Linked DNA regions of Lytechinus pictus. The protein of the gene in region 1 interacts with the protein of each later gene in a pairwise test. Links are inferred from orthologs where the notes say so. Each region holds a gene or a part of one and is shown on either strand. Other genes may lie near its edges.

Region 1 (7,542 bases):
TGCCTTGGCACAAAACTAAATTGAATTCTTGAAATTTATAATTTTTTTCTAATTAAAAAGAGATTAAAAAGAGAGTCTGTGGAGATGAAGATCTGCATCAGTCACAGAGGGCCTCACAAAAATGTGCTCAAAATTAAAAGTTTTTGAGCGCTCTTGTGAATAAAAAAAAAAGATTTCTAAGTCTAAAATGAAAACAAATAACTGAATGGATCTGTCTTTTTGAGTGTGCATTGTACATGAATGTTGCGTAGACTCAAGACAGAAAGAGTGGTTGGAGAGTGCAAGAGGATGGGGTGCTTCCACTCTTCCCGCAATTCAAGAAACTTTTACTTTTTCCAGGAAAGGTTCCAGAAATGAAAAAAATCCAGGAAATTCAGGGAAATCCAAAAATTACAAGGGGGGCCCCTTGAGAAGCAAAATTTAAAATTGTAATGTAGAAATGCAGAAGTGTGCCCCCCCCCTTTGAACGTGAAGTCCCTTTTATTTTTGCATGTCAATTTTTTCCTCAGGAAAATGTGCCTCCCCTTTTGGAAAATCCTGGATCCGCCCATGATTACAATTAAATGACAATTTACCGTAGCAACTTTAAAATATTCATGTAATATTTTACAAAGATTTAGATCTAACATTAGATCTTCCTCCGGATCCAGACATAGGCTCCGTCGTCGGAGCTCAAAATTTTCTGCCCTCGTCATTTCGTAATTTTGTTCCTATTTTTCAAGAGGACATGACAAACAAGAATGTTTTATTTCTTGATTTTGGTCACTTCTTGGACCTAATTTAGGCTCACTGTATTAATTATTATTGCCAGATTTTCATTAAAAATCAAAATGGAAAATTCCAGGAATTGTCTATGAATTTCAGAAAATTTAGGATTCATTTTCAGGAAATTTGTTTTGGATCTTGGAACATCGATGAGGGGTTTGGTGTCCGGACACTGAAAAATGAAGCCTTGTATTTGTAGAAGTTTAGGCTTGCTGTTGTTTATCTCACTGACTTGTTTTTGTTTTTTTTCTCTCACTTCTCAGCAAAATAAAGCAAAAAATATAGCTTGGATAATGCTTATCACCATCATTATTTGTTCTTTATAATATTTTCTTACATTCTGAGCTAAAAAAAAATCAAAGACATTGCTTGTATTTTTTGTAAACTTTTCAAAATTAAAGGAGATGTCGTGAGTCCGGACCCAACCCGTCAGGAAACACAACCACAGCGTATATCGGGCTGCGCGTTTCCGTTTTACACCCTGGCGAAGGCATTTTCCGCAAAAATAGCCCCAAAGCGACTAGTGAAGAGTCTACACACGTCGCTGGTTGCAGCGTGCGACACATGCACAGGCGAGTCCCACACCACCGCATGCAATCTGCACAGTTACTGATCAGAGCATTTCATGTACAGAGAGCAGTCATGTGAGTGAAATCCGAACATGCTTTTGCAGTTAGGTTTTTTTTATGAAAAGTTAAGAAAAAGTTTTTTTTCTAAATATAAATTATTAACTAAATGAATAGAATGACAGACAAAATAAAAATAAACAGATACATACAATAAAAAGAAAATTGAAGTTTGATGGATTGATACACTTAGATATAGAAGACTGATAAATAGATAGAGACATAGATAGATAGATTGATAGATAGATAGATGGGGGGGGGGGGAGAACTTGAGAGATGGAGAGATGTTATAGATAGATAGATAGATAGATTGATAGATAGATAGATATATGGACGGATAAAGAGAAATAGAGAGAGAGAAAAAAAGACAGACAGATGGATAGATAGAGAGAGAGAGAATCTGAGAGATATATATTAGATAGATAGATAAAGAATGAGAGAGACAGAGAAGATGGGCAAATTAACAGATAGATAGATACTGTAGTTACATAGATAGATAGATAAATAGATAGATAGATAGAGAGAAATAGAGAAAGACAGACAGATGGATAGATAGATAGAGAGAGGGGAGAGAGAGAGAGATAGAGAATTTGAGAGATAGGTAGATGTTAGATAGACAGATAAATAAAGAATGAGAGAGACAGAGAAGATAGACAAATTAACAGATAGATAGATACTGTAGTTACATAGCTAGATAAATAGATAGAAGATAGATAGATAGATAGATGGGGGAGAGACCTTGAGAGAGGGAGAGATGTTATAGATAGATAGATATATATATGGACGGAAAAAGAGAAATAGAGAAAGAGAGAAAACAAGACAGATGGATAGATAGATAGATAAAGAATGAGAGAGACAGAGAAGATTAACAGATAGATAGATAGATACTGTAGTTACATAGATATTAGATAGAGATAGAATTTGAGAGATAGATTAAAAAATAGATAGATAGAAGATAGATAGATAGATAGAGAGAGAGAAGACAGAAAGATGGATAGATAGATAGAGAGAGGGGGAGAGAGAGATAGAGAATTGAGAGATATAGATAGATGTTAGATAGATAAAGAATGAGAGAGACAGAGAAGAGCGACAAATTAACAGATAGATAGATACTGCAGTTACATATAGATAGATAGATTGATAGAGAGAGAACTAGAGAACTAGAGAACTAGAGAAAGACAGATGGATAGATAGATGTTAGATAGATAAAGAATGAGAGACAGAGAAGATTAACATATAGATAGATACTGTAGTTACATAGATAGATAGATAGATAGATCTATATAGATATAATTTGAGAGATAGATATATAGACGGATAGAGAGAAAAAGACAGACAGATGGATAGATAGAGAGAATTTGAGATCAAAGACTGAAATAAGTGAATGTTTACATACAAATAGAATCATAACAAAATATAAAGTAAACATTATAAATAAATATCAAATACAATACAAATTCATACAGATGAAAAAGAAATGTATCATAAATAAATACAAAGGGCCAAAAGTAATACAAAGTGTCACCAAAGAAGAAAAAAGCGGAATGAAAGATTAAGAAGAAAGAGGTGAGAGAAGGGAAAGAAATTGGGATAAGACAAAGAGAAGGGAAAGCAAGAGGGGGAATTTGAAAGAGAATAGGAGGCAACCTTTAGAAAAAAAAACTCATTATGCAATACAAGACATTTAACAATGGTAACAAGTAAATAAAGTAGTAATTGAATCGAATCGAGCACAAAAAAGGGAAAAGTAGAGCTGAGGAAATAGACTCCCGAAGGAAGTCGAGGCAGTGTTGATATTGCACATGAGTAGATTAATAGATGGATAGAGAGAAATAAAAGAGAGACAGATGTATAGATAGAGAATTTGAGAGATAGATGTTAGATGGATAGATAGATAGATAGGTAGATAGAGAATGAGAGAGACAGAGTAGATAGACAAATTAACAGATAGATATATCATGTAGTTCCATAGATTGATTTATAAGATAGATAGCGGATAGACAGATATGATAGATATAAGGATAGATATAATATGAAAAAAGGTAATTATGTGTTTTATTTTTCAATATTTTAGCTATTATTCGTTTTCATTCATATAAACGATCATGTGCGATAAAGTAAAAAAAAAAATCATGAAGCCAACGTATATAGTTCAGCGGAACAACCAAAATACAGAGACTGAAGCTTTTGGTCTATAAGCTCAGCTGCATTTGCACGTATGTTCTGCGGATATCTTCGGTGCGGACTTTTGGATCGCGCGCCCAGCTGATTATGTAAACAAACGTAGACGTAGACTCTTCACTAGTCGCTTTGTGGCTATTTTTCCGGAAAATGCCTTCGCCAGGGTGTAAAACGGAAACGCGCTATCGGGCTACTGAGCCAGCCCCACTGCCGGCTACAGTTGCCAGTCCCATACCGTATCTTTACTGTCATGTTTACGCCTTGGAACTATTAAAAATTAGTAAAAAAGCATGTTAAAATTCAAAATTATTGCAAACCAATCATATCAAAATGAAGCACATAAAATTCTCTTTAAAAACTATCATTTTGTTTTTCTTAATAACAATTTTTATTACCTGAAATTTGTTGTCGAAAAATCTCCCCCATTGACTTTGTACACAAACTTCGGTGAATTTGGAACTATTCAAAAGCTCCATGAGCAAATGACGGCTACTTCCGGTGTCGCAACCTTGTTTATATAGGGCCTTGGTTCGTTGCAGAGTTATCAATAGACAGAGTGGCGAAACCGGAAGTGTACTCTGATTGGTCCGATATTTCATGGAGCCCCAATTAGTTCCCTCTGGCATATTTTCTGCGCTTGTGATCTTCTGCTTAGTGCATGCCTCCGGAAATTTCAATAAACTACACATTTTCTCACATTTAGTGATTAAATACCTCGACACTTTCAACTCATGGATATATTTTCTAGACGCCAATGTGAGTATTTTAACATATAAAGTTAACTTTTTGTAGATACATCTGGTGTTATTTTTTCGTAAATCGGCTTCCAAAATAATGTCGAAAAAAGTGTTTGGTATGAGAGAAAAATTGCATTTTTTTTCAAGTTTTGTGTCATCATGTTTTGCACCTCAACGTGTTGTAATAGTGTTTTACAATGACTGTCAAGGTTGAATGATCTTTCAACAAGTTGTTTCATGTTATTTTTGGGGAAATCCATTTATTTTCTACCAAAAACAGTTCATAAAATTTAGCATATGGGACTACCCTTCATAAGACCCTAGCCAAAGATAAGGAGCTGCGCCGCCGGAGCTTTCGGCGGCGGAAACCTTAGCCCACTCTATAGGCCGTAGGCGGTTAATTGCAGGGATGGAGCCACCAACTCAGCGGGTGAGGGCACTTTTCAACTTAGTCTAAGACTAAGTTATATTACACAGGAATAACCGTCGTTTCTGGGATTTTATTCAACAATTCCTGACATTTTACTGTAATCCCCATTTATGTATTGGTGAGTGAGCCAACACAGTTCAGCGGAACAACCAAAATACAGAGACTGAATGAAGCTTTTGGTCTAAAGTTGGATCTACTAGTCTTAATCTGAATTTTACTAATATATAGATGGAAATATCCCATTAGAGAGGAAAGTATCCCTATATATATTTAGACTATTTTGTTATTAAGGCCAAAGTGTTAAAACTCCTGATTTTAGAAAACCCGTATGCCTAGGTCTAATTTAGACCCTAAGACTAGAGTAAATATTAAGACTGAAGGCTGCAGTGCAGTTGAGTTGTTACATTAAAATTTTTAATCTAACAAAGGAACTGCAGTGCTTGAGTAAATTTACTCTGGACTAGGGTCTAGTGAAGATCTATAGTAGATGTAGACCTAGTCTAATCCTAGTAGATAAAAAAATCCAAGTCCAAGACCAGAGCTTACCTATCAAGACAGACAGTGATTCAATTAAGATTACTTTATTAATGCAGAAGAAATAATGATTCAAAGTGCTTTGACCTGTGTCCTCACAAGCAATAATGGATCTACATCTACATGTACAAATATCAGATTTGCTGCATGCATGGACCTAGTAGGTCCATGCTGCATGTAACCCATCTGTGTTTGGTGTGTGGTGATTGTCATGAGTTCATCTAGCTATTACTATGTTAGTACAAGTTCAGGGCCTATACTGACAGTACTCACTACCGTACCTTTATTCACTCATAGAGTACGTTAGCTTTGTGTGATTAATTCAATATGTGTTAACGTATGTATATGCTTTGACCTTATAACTGTGACAACAGCACTTGCTTGGACTGATGAGGAAAATGGCACAGGTCTAATAGTCACATTATGTATTATCTGCTGGTTATTGTACTTGCTCACTAATTTTTTTATCATAATGGCATGTGCTTTCAAAGGTCATGCAATTAAGGTAATGACTTCAGTGACTGCAAGTTTTAAGCATCAACTTTGGAAACAACTAGCTGAACAGAGTCATGGGAACAGAATTTATTCATTTCATAGACTGTAATCAATAATTATCATTGTTTTCTGGGGTTGCCACGCAGTCAAGCTTAGCTTAAAGTGGCAACCCCTGCAACCTTCTAAAAATCATATTTGGTTTATTTGAAGATTTATGTCATTTGTATTTTCTGATATGTTTTATTTATTGTAATTATTGTATTATAATTTTTTTGGGAAAAATGAATAAATAAATAAATGAAATGAAAAATATCAATATGTATTAATATAAAATACAATTTGTTCAATGTTTTGCTTGTCAGTTATTCGCATATTATTATTGTATTTTCTTTGTTAATGTGTTTATGAAAAAGTGTTGCTGAAACCAATAAATGAAATGAAATGAAATATCTTAGCTGATAATGTTTTAAAACAATTTATCAAGGAATAAATGTTAACACAATCAGAACCTAATGCAAATTTCGAACTTAAGTAAAATATATGTTCATTCCCCTTTGTAATAATTGTGCAATTTTGATAGAATGAACAACTTTATATTGATATCAATTTTATGTATAATTGTTTTTTTATTTTCATAAATTTGTCGTTATGGTATTTTCCTTTGTTCCACAAATGCATCATGTCATTGGGACTACTGTATTACATTTTCAATAAAATTTCCTTGTCATCACCTTGTGTTGCAGGATGTACATTTTTATTTCCATATACCCATCTTTTTTAGGTTATATCAAAATGCATTTCCATATAGTGTCTGTTATTCAAATTTTAAATTCATTAATAAAAAATCTAGTTTATTCAAAATCGATTCAACAGCCTGAATGTTTAATTCACTGCATGTGATAATGTAAATGGGAAAATTGAAAAAATAAATTGTTCACCCTTATTCTTTTCACCAAGATGTAATTTTCCAATTGAATTTTATTTTCATTTTTATTGTCATTCTAAATAGGTTGTAGGCTTATATATAGGATGTGCACGCGCAAATCAAAGTTATTTATGATTATAGTCAGTTGACCTTTAGTGGATGTGAAGGAGGGAGTGGCGTAACACAATTTTGGATCCACCTTCTTGTGCATAGAGAAATGTATTTCTTACATGGAAATCACTTATGATATATTATTGTTTTCTCTTTCAGATAAATCCTATCAGGTTATGCAGTCTAGTTATTTTGTCTCTCATTTTCAATATTCGTCCTTGATCCTGTTAAAGCTATAAGCTTTCCATTTTTAAATATGCATTACAAGCGTTTAATTAGTTGAGATTCTGTTTTTCTTTTTTTTCTTTTTTTCATTACACAGTGTTACACCACACAATAGAAAGGAAGAGGGAAATCGGAGAACAGAAGAGAGAGAAAGAGAGAGACCCAGAGATGAGAGGGGCAAAGAGAGTGATAGATAAAGGGAGGGGTATATTCACAACTAAAAGATTATTGACAGTTTCCACCATTTGCCAGAATTGTCAGATTAAATCAATCAAAAGAAATGGAAATAACATTTTTGTTATGTGACAACTATTGCCAATCAGCAAATTCATAATCAAGTGAAATCACGATTACTATAGGAAAGTAAAAAAGTGCCGAAAATACACTGTAAAAAATAATGAGTAAAATTTTACCACCATGATGGTAATTATGTGTCCAACCTATTTTGGAAAGTATTTTACCATGTTTACCCAATGCGGGAAGCATATTGTCCAGTGAGGTTAAAAAATAATC
Region 2 (8,085 bases), on another chromosome or scaffold:
ACTTCACAGGGGTCTTTGACTTTTTGGATTGGGGTGGTTCGTCGTCTGAGTCTATGAATGTTCAATGTAAAAGTGAAACTAACATAACAGGTAAAGAATATTTTGGAAAAATTGTGTAGATTATGATGAATAGGAGGGTTGCCTTCTGAACCTGTTCACAAGGGTTTCTAGAGAAAAAGCATTTATGAATTGCACACTTTTTGTACACTTTATAACCTCACTTCAAGAAAATTTGAAACTAGGAACAAGTTTCATGATCATGTTCCTGTTTTAAACTTCAAGGTAATACTAATAAAAATATTTGAAATTTATATAGCGCATAATAGTCAAAAGATTCTCTATGCGCTTTACAAAATATATTTAATTACTAAATTATACATTAAACCTGATCTGAATTACATGTATACAATAAACCTAAACCTTAATCCTAAAATACTTAATACAAATTATAACAAATAAAATCAATGCATTAAAGTTACATCACTAATGAAATGAAAACTTATAATATTTAACAACATAATATATTGAACATTATATTATTAGGTATTGAATTGATTTGTTGCAATTCAAAACCTTAATTTACATTCATTTCTGAAAATGTCTGAGGCAAGAAAATGAAATGTCAGGGAAAGGATGAATGATCATGCTTCTAAAGCAATTAAGTTCTTTTGGCATCCAACAAAGCCTCTCACTCATCACTCAGTGTAGATTACCAAATGATCAAGCCCAACATGCTTGGGATTTTAATTTAATTTTTCCTTGTCCCACTCATTGATTTTTTTTTTTATAGCACTACTAGATCTTGATACCTAAAATGCTGAAAATTTTAAGTCAACAGGTTCAAAATGGAGGAAAAAATATGGATGCCCTGACAAGTTTTCTCTTTATTTTATTCAATTTTCTCTTCTTAAAATACTTTATCTCTGCAAACTTCAAAATAAATCCCTGACTTTGCTTTCTTTAAACCTCGCTTCATACAGTGCAGTGTATAACAAAGAATACCTCATCCGTAAACAGCATGGTAACCTTTCTGCTCATTTTAATAAATGTTAGATTTTTATTTTATCATTCCCCGTCTATACTAATTTTCCACTATTACTATGTATATAATTCTCTTAATTTGTAAATTTTGGAGGCCATTATGTGGTTACATTTTAACCTGAACTCTTGAATGTTTTAATTCACCTTGCTAGTAACTCTGATACAAGTCTTGCAAATATGACAAAAGAAGAGAAGATGGGAGCAGAGTACTAGACATGAATATAATTTTGTATTTATTTCATGTACTCATTGAAGGGAAAAATTTTCTCAGAATTCAAGACAGTTTCTCATCCTTGTGTTTAGTATTTATGAAAGACACACAGGATGTGAATCATTCATTTAAGTACATTAACACCTTCACTTTACCAGAGTCATAAATGATGTTGGATTTCTTCATTGATTTGGCCGAGTGGCGTTGCTTCTTCTCACTTTGCACGAAGTCTCCGTCATCGTCATTGTGCTTTCTCTTACCCTTGCCATTGCTCTGCTTAGCTGAACTGGATGCAGACTTACCCCTTCCTGGGCTGCCGAAGAAGGATCGAATGTCCTGGAATATGATTTATAAATTTATTGTTAGATCAAGTCTGTCTTTATCATTGTCAGTGCATGCACATGACTGCATGCCACTAGCAGGTTGGCCACTAGTAAAATGTACTACATGGGAGCAATCCCTCACCCCCCCACCTCCCATCCCCCCCCCCCCCTCTTCATTTGAATCCATCCATTAGTTTATAGTCATGACTGCACGGAAACATGTATCATTACCAAACTGTCAAACATTCATTTTCATGATTTAAGCCTTTTGGCATGCATTTCGACCAATCCTTTCCTTCATTAAAAAATACTGCATATCAACTGGGAAAATAAAATGCAATTAATTTTGCAATTTTGAAGTCTTGTTTCCACTGTCAAGTGTATTTTCACTATCTCCAACTCAGACCCTAAAGTTACATTTTGAAATAGTCAAATAGTTCTAAACAAGTCAAGATTCTAGATTTTACAACTCTAACTAACGTTAGTTGGATCTTTTTTTTTTTCACAGAGGGGGTTTGAAAAAGTCACAAGTGAAAGTCTGTACTAAATAAATACCTGGCCAACCATCTTGAGGGGGGGGGGTGGGGGTGATGGGGCCAGTCAAATATATTGCTGTACACATGCGTGACCAAATTATTTCCAAACATGGGCCTAAACAAGATTTTCTCTGTGTGCAAAATAACCCCTGAACAAGTTTTTCACAGGCTTCATTTACACATTTTGGCCCCATGCAGGGAAAAAGCTTGGGAAAAAATATACCCTAAAGTTCTAAACACGTTTGGCTACTCTTAAAAAAAAAGCCTTGCCTTTGGAAAGAAAAAATTACCCTAATACATTTGACCCCGGGATTGAACATAATTGACCATCCATGATTGACCAGTCTTTCTGAACCACCTTTAAAAAAAAATCATTGTTTTTTATACCCTTAACAAGTGCACATGCGACCAGACATATAGACTTTAGTTTAAAAACATGTTTTTTGGGTCACGCATGTCATGACATGTGTAAGTTAGATCTTGATCTAACTAAGACAGTAAGAACAGATCGAGATCGACTCGGGTGTACCGTGTTGCAAGAAACTTGCGATCAATTGCGATCTATATATGGTCCCTAAATCACTCAAATGTCTTGCAGTAAATTGCAAATTAGTGATTGCTAATCTGCTCCTTGAAACAAGAAGTTAAATCTGATTTGCTATAACTGACGTTGATCTAAAAAGTATGTTGTAAAATTGCAACAAAATATTTGCAATTGATCGCAAATATTTTCTTGCAACAAAAATTTCTAACTCAACAAGTTAGACTCTACTCTAGCTAGCTAGATCTAGATCCCTGGGCCAACCATATCCTCCCTCATTCACTCGTTAGGTTTCTTCTAGTTTTCCACATTCATCCATCACTTCTTTGCATCAGATGACACTGAAACTAGCCTGAAAAACCTAACGTTAGTCCAATTCCCATCTCAATTCGTCATCACGACGGGACCATCAGGCATCACGACGAGTCATCATGGTCAGGACACAATTTCGAATTTTTTATTTAATTCCGTTTCAACTTCAAATTGAAAGGGCATTTTTTCAACGAAAGGATTTGAAATCACTGAATGTCTAAAAGTAACCATAGGCCTACGTCAAAGCATTAAAATGTGCATGCAATTCAGAATATTTACCATCGACATGATTAATCAGCTGTTTGACATAAGCCGTCATTCAATTCAATTCAGCTCAGCTCAGTCGAACTACTAACCCATGTTGTTGTCATTCGCGCTCGCGCGCTGAAGTTGCGTTCGCTGTTCCCCGTCGATTCGTAAAGATTACGAATAAAAACTTGAAATGAATGGGGGGCCAGCCCATCATGATCACCTGATCGCACTATAAATCACGTGATATGCCAGAGATTGATCGGAGGGGGAAGGGGAGTGGCCAAGCGCAGCATGGAGGGGATGGAGGGAAAGGAAACTCGGAAAACTTTTCGAAAAGGGCATCTCTCCGATTTTTGTTATTTTTATAGTTGTCTACCATTACGAGATGAAAGTGTTGGGGATCAGTGATGAAGAATGCGTTTCCTTATTTTGAGGGGGGAGATAGAGGGGGTTGCTCATTTTTGTAACTTTCACTTAAAACGCGACGAGTTCTTCAATTGGCTTTATGGGGTTTTTTTCATTCCTGCGGGACTTTCAGTGCCTTATGACCCTGCTTACGATAGCCGTTATCACTAGGGAGGACCCCCTTTCTAGTGCTTTCAACAAATACATGGCCTGGTGACTCACGACTTGGATCCTAAGTCTCCTAATTTTCTAACTTCAACACCAATAGCCCAGCTCTGATGTATTTTGACAATCAATATAAACAAAACAAGTATAGATGATAGTATAATTAATTGATAATGATGATGATGTTGATGATGATAATAATAATAATAATAGTAATGATAATGATAATAATTAATAATTAATAATAATGATAATAACCACAATCACAGCAGAGGGCAGGGGCGACTGCCCCTATGAATTTTCAAGCTTTGAATACAAAGAAAAAAATAGGAGAGAATTAAGCAAAAATAATGACGAAAAGACGGAAGGGGAGGAAAAAAAGAAAGAAGAGACTTTTTGGTCGTTTGTAATTGTTATTAATATGACCTAATATTCAATTGAAGAAAAAATACATCACCATCAGCTCGCCCCACCCGTCAAATACCCTGGCGCCGCTCCTGATCCAAATTAAGGATCATGTCTTGGAAGAGCGTTTAAATTCTGACAGTTACCCCGACCCCGCCCCGCCCATCCAGCAATGACCACTTTCTTTTCTTTCACCCTCCCTCTCTCAAGTCTCTCTAAAACTCTCTTCTTCAATCTCTGCATATGCATGCCTCCCCCCCCCCCCCCCCCCCGGCCCCACCATACACTGACGGGCTCCGTGCCATTACATCCCGCATTATACATACGCTGTGCGGACTGACTGGGGTGGGGTGTGTGTCCGTCTGTCAATCCCTAGCTCTCTCTCCCTCTCTCTCCATCTCTCTCTATCTCTGCCTCCATCTCTCTCCCCCTCCATCACTATCTCCCACTTTCTAATATACCATACCCACTGATCCGTATAGGCGTGCACCTCCAAACATGAACTTCGATCTTCATTATTAGCCATCCGCTGCCCCTCGCTCCGCCAGCCTGAGAAAGTGACAGGCTCAACTTTAATACTGACCTCATTACAGGGCACCCCAGGTAAAATCACGTATTTGGGAACTATCATCCTTTTGTCATTCAATAAATCTCAAATCAGGGAGCAATCGTCCGGTCCACACTTGAGCTCATCAATGCTCATTCTCTGAAAATCATCAACAATCACAATTTCTTCCAACCAACTGTCTTGGACACGTCTATAGTTCGTGAAACCAGGGCAGGTAGTAGCAAGCGATCACCGCCCAACCGAACCATTCACAGCTGGGATTCTCAATTTTGTGTCTCTTTTTTTTCCCGCGGTCTGTCATCTGATTCATAGCAACAACAGACAAAACAGACAGGATGTCTACAGAAAAGTAAGTATAAATCAGTGTATTCAATTATATTTACATAAGCTCTTACGCCTTTAATTTCCATTATGTTACTTTGTCATCTAACTGTAAAAGGATTTGAGTTTTTCATTGCGAGATGAACTATTGCCTATTTTTTTTCCCCTTCATAACAATGTCTGCATTTGAGATACCATGACACTATACTTTGAATAAATACAGATCGGTTGTGAGTTGTGACCAAAATTTAATTAGATTCAAATTCTGGAGAATTGCGATAGCAGTAACACAACGTCATCATTATAAGCATCAGCAGGAGTATAAAAAACAACAGATCCTGAAAGAAAAAAATACATTGACCCCGCACATGATTAATCAGTCAATCAATCTAAATCCTTATTTCAGGTTGGTCACTGTCTACCGACTACCGCCGATGTGGATTTATTTAAAATCCCTGTAAATTTAGAGTGGACATTAGTGACATCTGGGCCCCGTTGTACAAAGAGTTACGATTGATCCGATCAATCGTAACTCTATGGAAATCCATCAGTGTCATAATTTTTTCTACAGGAAATTTGCAAATGTCCTTTGTAATCAAAGGAGAACACCCCGAATTGTCAAGAAATCAATGAATTTATGGATTTGCATTCATATCTAGAATTTTTTTTGAACAAACATGCATTTCATATGTTGACTTTGCTGGCTTTCCATAGTTGTGATTGATCGGATCAATCGTAACTCTTTGTACAACGGGGCCCAGTTCTCGTCGTGATGATTTCTTGTATTGTGCCTAATGTGATCACCTGCTTTCGGAATTATACCAAATTCATCTGTCCACTTTGTGCATGTCATATTACTTGAGGTATAATCTCTCAATTTGCCATCCTTTATGGTACTGATCATAGCAAGCGAAATAAAATAATACATGCAGGACTGACTATTTAGCTTGTCCGTCGCAATATTTCATATTCAAGCCCGCAGCTCTTATCCAAGAATTTCTTTAAAGGGCACGTCAGAAAGCAAAAAAAAAAAAAGAGAAGTATTTAGGGTCATGTGCGGGGTCAATGTATTTTTTTCTTTCAGGATGTTTTTTTTTTAATACTGCTGCTGATGCTTATAATGATGACGTTGTGTTACTGCTATCGCAACCTTGATACTACTGACCGAGTAGGGATAGTGCAGCACACCCCCCCCCCCCCCCCCAATAAAAAAAAATTAAAAAAATAATGATAAACTAATAAAAGAAATAAGTGAATACATGCATGATTGAATTTGAATTTATTGGTTTATTTGATCTCTAAACCCATTTTCAATATACAAATGCAGAAATACCAATCAATAATAGACAAAAAATAATGAGCTTACAGTTGCAAATGGGTATATATTGATGAAATAAATGAATTAATTGTTTGCTTACTTAAAAAAATAACGATAATTATTATTATTGAAGCCCACATATTTATTGTCATCATCAATATTATTCGCATTTACCCGCTTAATAAAACTAAAATTTCCCATTATCCGTGCAGCCAAAGGGTGGCAGGCCTATATATAGATCCCCTAAAAGGTGTTTTATCAATTTTGCAATTGTTTAAATTATTTTCTCATTCTTAAAAAATGCTTGATAATAAAGCAAACTTAAATATCTTTATCTTATACTTACCTTCATGCAATACCTTATATCTGATTCTACTTTAGACAATAAAAACAAAATTGTACTGATATAAAACCACCCCTATATCATCCCCCTCTCTCTCTCTCTCTCTTTCTCTTCCTCCTTCTATATCTCCCTCCACCTCCATCTTCTTCTATCCCTTTATTCTTCATCTACCCATCTGTCACGTCGTTCCCCCTCGTTGAATCCATGCAGTCGGTCATTAACTTTTCCTATTTTGATTCCCAATTTGACGACAATAAAAACACAAATCGAAATTCAATTACGTTCCCTTATCTGAGATCACTAATAAGAAAAAAAAACTCAGTAATCCACTCGGCAATAAAAATGAAATGATTTCGATATCATCTAGCAATTTAGGCGTTTAATATCTTCATTCACCGGCGGAATCGCTGTATATCCAAGGAGATATCACTCTCCTTGGTATATCAGTCAACCTTTTTGTTTTATGTTTTGTTGCTCCATTGTCGTTTGTAGAATGGCGCCGACGAAATTTCCTGACGATTTTGTAATTATGGAGAAAGAAGAATAAAATAGATTTACAATCTTAATGTGTTCAGGTTTGGTCAGAATGCCGGCGTTTTAAAACTCCTGTCTTTAAATATTAGGCCTGTGATGTAGGCCTAGTATACGAATTCCCTCGAATTTATATTAGGTAGTAAGAATTATATAAAACTTTAAAAAGTATTTAAGGAATCAGCCTTTAAATACAAATGTAATTCCATTTCCCAGGTGACACACATCTAGATGCAGATGCTGTTGGCTTGATATATTTTTTTTATGGAATTAGGTATCGACTTGTAACAGGGGCTGCGGAACCGGGGGGCTGGGGGGCTTCAGCCCCCCCCCCCCTCTTTTTTTTCCAAAACTGTGTACAAAAACGTAAAAATGACCATATGATTGTGATTTTTAGCATGGTCAGCCCCCCCCCCCCCCACTTTTGGCTCAGCCCCCCACTTTGAAAACCGTTCCGCGGCCCCTGTGTAACAAGATTGACGTGTATCTTTCTTCTTTCTAATTTTTCTCCATTGTATAGAAAATGTAACCGGCATTGGCCATGCTGGAGCTACTTAACCCGTGCAAAAAAAAGTCTTGGAAATGTGATGGCGCGATGGTGCAATGCTTTTTATGTATCTTTTTTTTACATTGGACGGTCTGGCTCAAAATTCAGGGGCGGATCTGAGATTTACTTCGGGGGGGGGGGGGGCTTTCTTTAACACCAATAATTCAATAATTGACTAATAAAATAAATAAATAATCAACACCAACAAAAAAAGTATAGATGCATATTACCATATTTTCTCGTACCATTTTTTGGGGGGACATGCT
Region 3 (8,270 bases), on another chromosome or scaffold:
TATACTGTCAATTACTGTGCAGTTGCGTTAGAACTACTCTCCAGACCACTTGTGTCATAAAGTGGGAGTGCAAGCAGACTTCTCCAGAAATTGGTCAGATACACACTTTCAATGTTTCAATAACAAAAAAAGAAACCAAAAACATTGAGATTTGAGAGAGAAAGAGAGAGACGGATATACCAGGGTGACCAGACAATCCGTACTTTAAGGGAAAGTCCCTATTTCACAAATTTGTCCTGCATCCCGTATATTGACCTCGAAGGAAGTGTCCCGTATTTCAACTGCCAAAATCTGGTCACCCTCGGACATACAAAGAGGGGATGAAAAGAGCTTAATGTGTACCGGTAATCTGGTAATGCACTAGTGGAGTCGACTCCTCTCAGAACCGAAGCCTTAGGTCAGAACCAACTCTGGGAAAGCTGGAAATTGCCCAAGCCTAATACAATACATATATGTTGATATCATTTTCAAGTCAAATTTAGTATTTCTCGAACAGATTTCCATCGTTCCTAGAGATTCGAGTAAGGCAGATCCACTTGTAGTTTTAATACTCCATGATCTCATTTGCAAATCACATGTACTACATGTACCATCCAGCTGGCGCAGAAAACGCTAAACTTGACCTACACAAACAAAACCTCAAAAGAATAAATGTTTGTCAAGTACACACAATGCATACCAGAGCTCTGGAGCGATAGACATGGTTTTCAACAAATACTATAGTCTGTTGAATTTGTTGAATAACGGAAACTTACTCAAACAGGGAGAGTTAAAATTTACAAACTGGCAGGACCATACGGTAGCAAATACTAGCAATTAATCAACTGATTTCATATGGCCCATAAGTTAATATAAAATGCATATAAATTTCATTTTTTTAATGGTTCATGACCTATTTTTCTTTCTTTTTTTTCTTTTTAGGAACGGGTGTGAAATAATTTGTGTATTGATATACTAGAGATACAGTAAAATTTTCGATTTTCTGAGAAAATGACATTTCATTGATATTTAACCAAATGATATGTAGAAAAGTTGCTGGCATATGACGTCACAAATCAAATAATTCAAATTCTAATAACTTTTTTTATTCTTTGATGGATTTTTCTCAAACATGATCTACTGAATGCTACAAGCAGGATTTGCTGAAGTCCTGCCTTTGGCCCGAAGAAATAGTTTGAAAATCAACCCACAGAAGACTGAAGTGATTCATGTTTCATCTAGGATTAATTCTGCTTTAACACCAGCTTGTATTGAAACAGACGGGGTGGATGTACATGAGACAACTAAAGCACACAATCTGGGCTTTCACATGGATCAACAGTTCAACACCTTCAACTAAAACAACAATGTGTTCATTGAGAAGAATTGCAAAAATTCAGAACTACTTGTGTAAAAAGACCACTGAAAAGTTGATTCATTATATCTGTCTGATCTGATATCTGGATGTGTCCCGCAATAAAAATCTCCGCTCTTCTAACCAGAATTTATCAATTGCGCCAATGTCTAAAACATGTTCGTTTGGGGATCGTGCCTTGGAAGCTCCTTGCTTTTTGTTAGCAGCACCTGTACTGTACCTGGAATAAATTGCCTAATCATCTGAGGGCCATCACTTGTACTTCTTAAAGACATACCGTAGTTTGTTCTCACGTTAGATTGTTTTGTTTAAAAGGTACGGTATGTTGCAAAGTTTTTGTTACATGTAGTTTTTCATTCATGTTTTTTTTTATTTAAAGTTTATTAGTATTAGACTAAACTACTTTTATGTAAAGCGCATAGAGATTCTGTCAAATATTATGCACTATATAAACCTTTGGAAATATTTTTCATCATTTTTTTTCTTTTTTTACAATAAAATTATCCTATTTTTACAATAAATTTATCCTTTAATCAGCAACAAGGAAACCAAAACATCTTTTCACATGTACAAATTTGACTATTTAGAGAAAAGAAGGAACATTAATCTTTTAAAGTCAAATAAAATCAATTTCAAGATCCCTAAAACCAAAATATCAAAGAAAATACAATCCAATCTAGAACGGTCAAAATATCAAGAGCACTACATGTAAAAACTTTCAAACTCTATATTTGCAAATAATACATCTAAAGTATATCGTTAACAAGAGTGTCGCTATTAAGGTGAGCAAATAATACGCCCGCCTGTAACGCGGAAAATGGAGAACATGTATTGGTCAAGCAAGAAAAGTGGAAGGTGGAGACTTCACCTTTGACCTTTTGACCTCCAAATCGATAGGCTTCCTGGGATCCATGCTAGTATCATACGCACCAAATTATATGAGCCTAGGTTAAGTTAAACTAAAGTTATTGCGTTTACAAGGAAAACATGTCACTGTGAACTTGATCTTTGACCTCAAAATCAATAGGCTTCCTGGGATCCATGCTAGTATCATACACACCAAATTATATGAGCCTAGGTTAAGTTAAACTGAAGTTATCACGTTTACAAAGAAAAGTTAACAAGTAGACAGACAGACGGACACCGAACGTGATACCATAATAAGTCCTGTAGGACGGGCTCCCTGCGCATAAAAAATATATTAAAGTACCCTGCTCAACGAAAGGGTACTAAAATGTTTTTTATTAACTTACAGCTTATCTTCACAGGCCATGAATCCTTCTGGGGTCTTTATAACTTCCACTGGCATATCGTCTCTAATAAAATAATGTATTTAATGGAAATATTTATTGGTTCTCTGTTCCTTTTTAAAAGTTTTTCTTTAGTGAATAATGAAGCAGCTATCTCACGGATGCATTCTCCATTGCTAAAAGTGCTAGAAACAAGTTCCATCAAGCAAATGAATTACTTCAAACCTGAAGTATGTGATAACTGTTCTCCCATTCAGGTATCTTCAAATTCAATAATGTTTGTGGAAACTTTGCAAACACATTCTAATGTCCATTCTTCTGATACAATGTTCTTTTCATAATAAAAATGTGATGGTGCAGGCTCTAAGACAAATCCAGTATGATCTTGATGGAATGATAAAAGCTGATTATTCCTTTTAAACTCTTGTCAGTTTCCAATCACTCAGGTCAGATCCACAATGCCGCTTTTACTGATCCAATAAGTATCCTAAGATAATGCAAAACTTTTAAATAGGCCTATTCACTTTACGACTTCCATTAATGTATCTGCATCCCAAATAGAAGCTACAATGTACATGAATACATGTATGAGCAAATGTACATGCTTTTAAGATTACACAGATACTCTTCTGGTAGGCAAACAGGACAGCTTGTTGAAAAAAATAAAACCCTCCAATACATGTAAGAATTATTATTGTGCTGGTATGTGAAATCAATAGACAGCTTTTCATGAAATAAAAGAGATCTGGGCTACCAGAGCGTGGCTTAATATCCTTTTCATCATACTTCCAAGGTCCCTGGTTCATAAAGGTTTCCACTCAAACTTTGATCGACCAAGCCTAAAAGTAGCAAAGAAACTTACAACAGACCAAGCCAACTAAACAGTCTTATATTCAAGGGTGAAACATGAAGAAGTATTTGCAAAGCATACATGAATTAATGTAAACAGAAATAGAAGAGTATAAGTGCAATCGCTGTGTACAAGACTTAATCTCTGACATGCACAAACCAAGAACAACATTTTTTTTTTTACAATGACATCCAGTCGATGTGAGAACAGACTATTCTCCTTTGATATGCAAATGAAGGGGATACAATACTGGTATTGATTGGTATTTGTATGAAAATAGTGTATTGTATTTATTTCGTTGTCAAATTATCTCAAGGCTTTAGGTGTGAGAATCTCCATACACATACATGTAGCTGTATATGTACAACTTGCGCTTCATACACACTTTTCACAATGTTGTTTGACGATAGCAGTCCATCCAACTTGACAGTAATGTATGCCTGGTTCATGAGTAAATCTTTTATAGAGGAGATAAATTTGAAATATCACAGTGCACTGAAAAACGTTATTTCTGTTTTTTTTTTAAGTACGGGAAGAGAGAGAGTGAGAGAGAGAAAAAAAATGAGTACGTGTATGAAATTACCATTATGTACAGTTAACAAACAATACATACTTTAAGTCTTTATTCAGAAAAAAGTCTCTAAAAAGGTCCTGTTTCACAAAGGCATGTAATAACAACAAATGCACAAGATTACTATCAGCCAATCAAATTGATGGATTTCAGTAGCTCTAAACATTTATATTGCAAATTTGTTATGATAACAAGTTTTGTGAAAATTGGCCCCAGATGTGTCCCCCTGACTCCCCCACCTTATCTTGATGGCAAAACTTGTTTGAAAAACAAAACAAAACCATCTTGGTTTGCTGATGGAAAATGAAGTAAATGCATTGTAATAAATGATTCTGTGATCCATGTAAACTTGTACATGTATCTCCATACTATGTTTTGAAAAGTAAATACAGAATGAGGATACACTTATAAAAGTCATGGAAAACCTTTGTGAGCAGCTCCAAATGTTATTTTTTTTAGAATTTTAAGTTCCAGCAATCATATTTAATTGGTAGATAATATATCATGGAAAAACAAGCCTAGTAACACAGGTTCTGACCTTAGTTTTACACAAGAAAAGGGGGAAGAGAAATGTCATAATTGATAACATGACTTCATACATATTAGGCCTTCATGTTCATATCTCAATAAAAAGAGTGATTAAAACAAAAATCAAAGTAAACTTGATCAATCTTTAATTTTTTCTTGATGTTTTGTTTGAGCTCATTACAAAAAAAAAGAGATACACAACTTTCATATTATCCTTTATTTTTATTTTTCCTTTCTTCCCTTTTTCACACTAAATTGTCTTTCTTCTAAATTGATTCAAATCAGACAATGAACCATTGCTCTACAAAATGCATGCATATAAATCTTTTTAAAACATGTGTTCTCATTCAATAAAGACATTTCAGTTTTGTAACAAGATGTGAACAAGTATCAAACATTGTGCTGTAGTTACCACTAGAGGGCAGCAGTCTTGAAAATCAACTTCAAGCTCTTTCAGGATGATACAGTACACTCAGTTTTGATGTACATGTATGTAAACACATTGTTTACTATGTAATTTTCAATTCGCTAATTTGTGAATTGGTGTCCAAACTCCAAAGTGTCCACAGTATTCTTTTCTTCAGTGGATATTTTCTAGTTGGAAGTATTTGTAAGTTTATCAAATCCAGAAAATGCACTGTCATCAGACAAATGATAAAGAATGAAATTTCAATGACTTGCATTTTTACTGGTGATAATATTGGTATTGCACCACATGCATACATGTAGTACTTCAACAGTAAAACCTGGGAGTTTTTATGCATTATAAAAGGCAAATGAAAACAGAATACATGCATTTCAGTTATTGAGGAGTTTGGTATCTAGTGACTGATTTCATAAGTTAGGGTAAGACAGATTTTTTTAACAGTGTTAATGTACTTTATATGTATTGGCCTACATGTATTATGTATGTGGTCTTTGAAATGAATTTGAAAGAAATGCACGACTCATTTTTTTTTCTTAGCTTTCCTATTTTCTTATGCGATTCATTAATTCATTCATTTTTCGGGGTATACAGGCACAGTGCCAAGAATTTTTTTTGAGGGGGTGCATTTTATGTCCCCCAAATTAGATGAACCCCCCCACCACAAAAAAGGCCATCAGTCCAAAATGAAGGCATTTTAGGGGTGCTCCATTATCATTATTATTTCTTTTCAAATCCTGCCCCCACCCCCCTTGAATATGCAATTTGGTACAGTTACATGTACTGATTAAACTGCAGGCTGAAAGGATCAGTTAACAATTCACAACAAATACAAGTATACACAGTGTTATAGCTAATGTACATGTACAGTAGACGGCAGTTGTTGGGCCCAACCAGCACAGACTAATTCCATCCACCACTAATTTAAAAGAGGAATTGCTTTGCGTCCACTTCCATCTTTAATCTGGTTTTATTTGCATAATTTACATTAAACATTCTTATATTTGATTTTTTTTCAAAGATTTCCTAATGTCAGATTAATACATTAATGTTCCTTAGTCACTTTTGGCTTTAATTTTAAGACCACTAACTCGCCTGAAAAAACTTTGTAATGCCGTAAAATAGTGACCGCCACTAAAATGGTTCAAGCTAGAACACTGATTACTATTACATTATATGAAAATTGTATCACTGAAAATTAAATATTGATACAAAAAAGGAAATATAAATTAGGAGCAATTTTGAAAAGGAACCCTCAATATCCTTTTTGAAAGGGCTCTTCACTATAAAATGTTTTGGGTTTTTTGTTGTTGTTTTTTTACATGTTTTCATCCTATGGGAATGATTTTCCTCTGAATGAAATCTACACTTACACATTGCAGCATAACAAAATGGCATAGATTTAAAATTTACATACCGGTATATGTACATGTACATGTATGCAACACATAAACAACAAAATAACAAGACAAAAAACCTTTTTTCAACCTTGCCTTGCAACTTTTTCATTTTTATTTCAAGTTATTGCTAACCTTACATAACTACATGTATGTTGCAAATATCATATTTCCACTCTTTGTCCTCTGTGTATATTCTTTGTAAAATGCAAGGAAGTATTCAGGTCATTTTGCGGAAACAATGTTCATGAATATCAGACATGATGTAAGTCTTGTCCAGTCAGTGACTAACTCTTAAAAAGTTAATTTAAATTAAAATAATAGTTTAAAAATAAGAAATAAAACATTTTCCTTTTCCCCTCCTGCTGTAAAATTTTAAGTGTTATCATTCATTTTTTTAAATATCTTCAATAGAAAAATGCATTTTAAAAAAAAGAGAAAAATCCTGACTATACAAACAGAATGTAGACTTGAGCTCTGCATTAGAGGGCTACATTGTAAATTGACACAGAATAGTCGAGACCTGGATAATGAGAGCTACAGTGTATATAGTTAAAGGAAAATGAAAGGATAGATTTATTATCTGATCATAAAGTGATTACATTTCACTGAGTAAAATAAAATTAAAATGAGGCAGAATGGTTTCCTATTTCCCATGATATGCCAAGTCAAAGTTATCAATATTTTGATATTTGAAAGACCCGTGGAGATCGCCATTTTGCTCATACTCCCTATATCTCCGTGGGGGGTTGTGACGTCAGCGACGTACAACTCGGTGTCCGACCTCGGCACTCGCCTTTGATTGCTAGCATAAAATACATGGGCCAGAGTGGTCAGAAAGGGGCACAAAATGCAGCTTTTGCCAAATTCCTGATCCGCAGAAGAGGCCAGAAATCTCTTTAAAAAATGAGTGGCTGCACTAAAGGTGGAGAAATACAACAATTCTTCAAAATTCACGAGGAATGATGTTATTCGTAGCGAGCATTTTACCGATTTCTTCGGCCGAGTATTGGGACTCGAAGTCGTAGGCTCTCGGGCCTTCTAACTAAGTTCTATTTCAATACAAACGTCAGATAAGTTTTGTTTTACTTAAAATCGACGGTAACAAATAATAAACAACGTTAGATATATTGAAAAATAGCACAATTAACAATTTAACGATATTCAAACGGGATAGAGAACCAAACTTCCAACATAACAGTTAACACGATCACTCGGTTGTGGGCCGGCGGTCGGCACTCGAGGGTTCATTACATGCTGCCGCGCACAGAAAAATCAAGCCACAGAAGTCGTGTGTTGTGGACACCAGAAGGAAGATCCCAGCACGCGCGACCCACTAGATAGAAATCCACTGCCAAACGCGGTTTACGGTGCTGGCTTATAATACTAACCTCGCAATACGTGTGATGAGTGGGTGGCCGGGGACGGCTGTACTGTCTACGTACAAATTTAGCTTTGTCAAATTTGCCAATTTGGTAATCGTAAATAAATGTGTAAACATTTTCATCAAAACTCATCAATTTGTGTTTTAAACCATAAAATAATTTGAATAGCTTTTTGATAATATTTTCAAGTGTTTTTATGTGTATATTATATTTATTTCTTGTAAAAAAAGTATCTATATTATGCGAACTCGGGGTTGGTTTCAGCCTGTGACTAGCTGCACATGGAAGCTAGTACTGAGAGCAGTTGTACGTCGCTGATGTCACAATTTTGAACGAACCTCGCAACAATGGCGATCTCCATTCAGAGACTTTGAACGTGAAGAAGTCTAACTTTGAAGAGGTGGTACTCCACTTTGGGAAATCGGATATGGGTATAAGTGGATTCATTTTGATTATCATTTACTTATCAATGATATTAAGTGGTATTACATTTTGGGTTTCATTCTCCTTT

The links.
Region 2: the proteins of replication factor C subunit 4-like (region 1) and replication factor C subunit 1-like interact in a two-hybrid assay, tested with the Caenorhabditis elegans proteins (3 studies listed by BioGRID). The link is inferred for Lytechinus pictus from reciprocal best matches to the Caenorhabditis elegans genes rfc-4 and rfc-1.
Region 3: the proteins of replication factor C subunit 4-like (region 1) and PRKCA-binding protein-like interact in a two-hybrid assay, tested with the Caenorhabditis elegans proteins (3 studies listed by BioGRID). The link is inferred for Lytechinus pictus from reciprocal best matches to the Caenorhabditis elegans genes rfc-4 and Y57G11C.22.

The regions. Positions count from the first base shown.
Region 1 is NC_087260.1:5,934,331-5,941,872, reverse strand, and holds the start of replication factor C subunit 4-like, read left to right. Parts: upstream 1-4,164; 5' UTR 4,165-4,328; intron 4,329-7,542. UniProt on the Caenorhabditis elegans protein: The elongation of primed DNA templates by DNA polymerase delta and epsilon requires the action of the accessory proteins PCNA and activator 1. This subunit may be involved in the elongation of the multiprimed DNA template.
Region 2 is NC_087245.1:40,463,977-40,472,061, reverse strand, and holds the start of replication factor C subunit 1-like, read right to left. Parts: upstream 3,413-8,085; 5' UTR 3,253-3,412; coding exon 3,244-3,252; intron 1,589-3,243; coding exon 1,408-1,588; intron 52-1,407; coding exon 1-51.
Region 3 is NC_087254.1:35,283,836-35,292,105, reverse strand, and holds the start of PRKCA-binding protein-like, read right to left. Parts: upstream 3,553-8,270; 5' UTR 3,538-3,552; coding exon 3,467-3,537; intron 3,104-3,466; exon of another isoform or gene 2,664-3,103; coding exon of another isoform or gene 2,608-2,663; intron 1-2,607.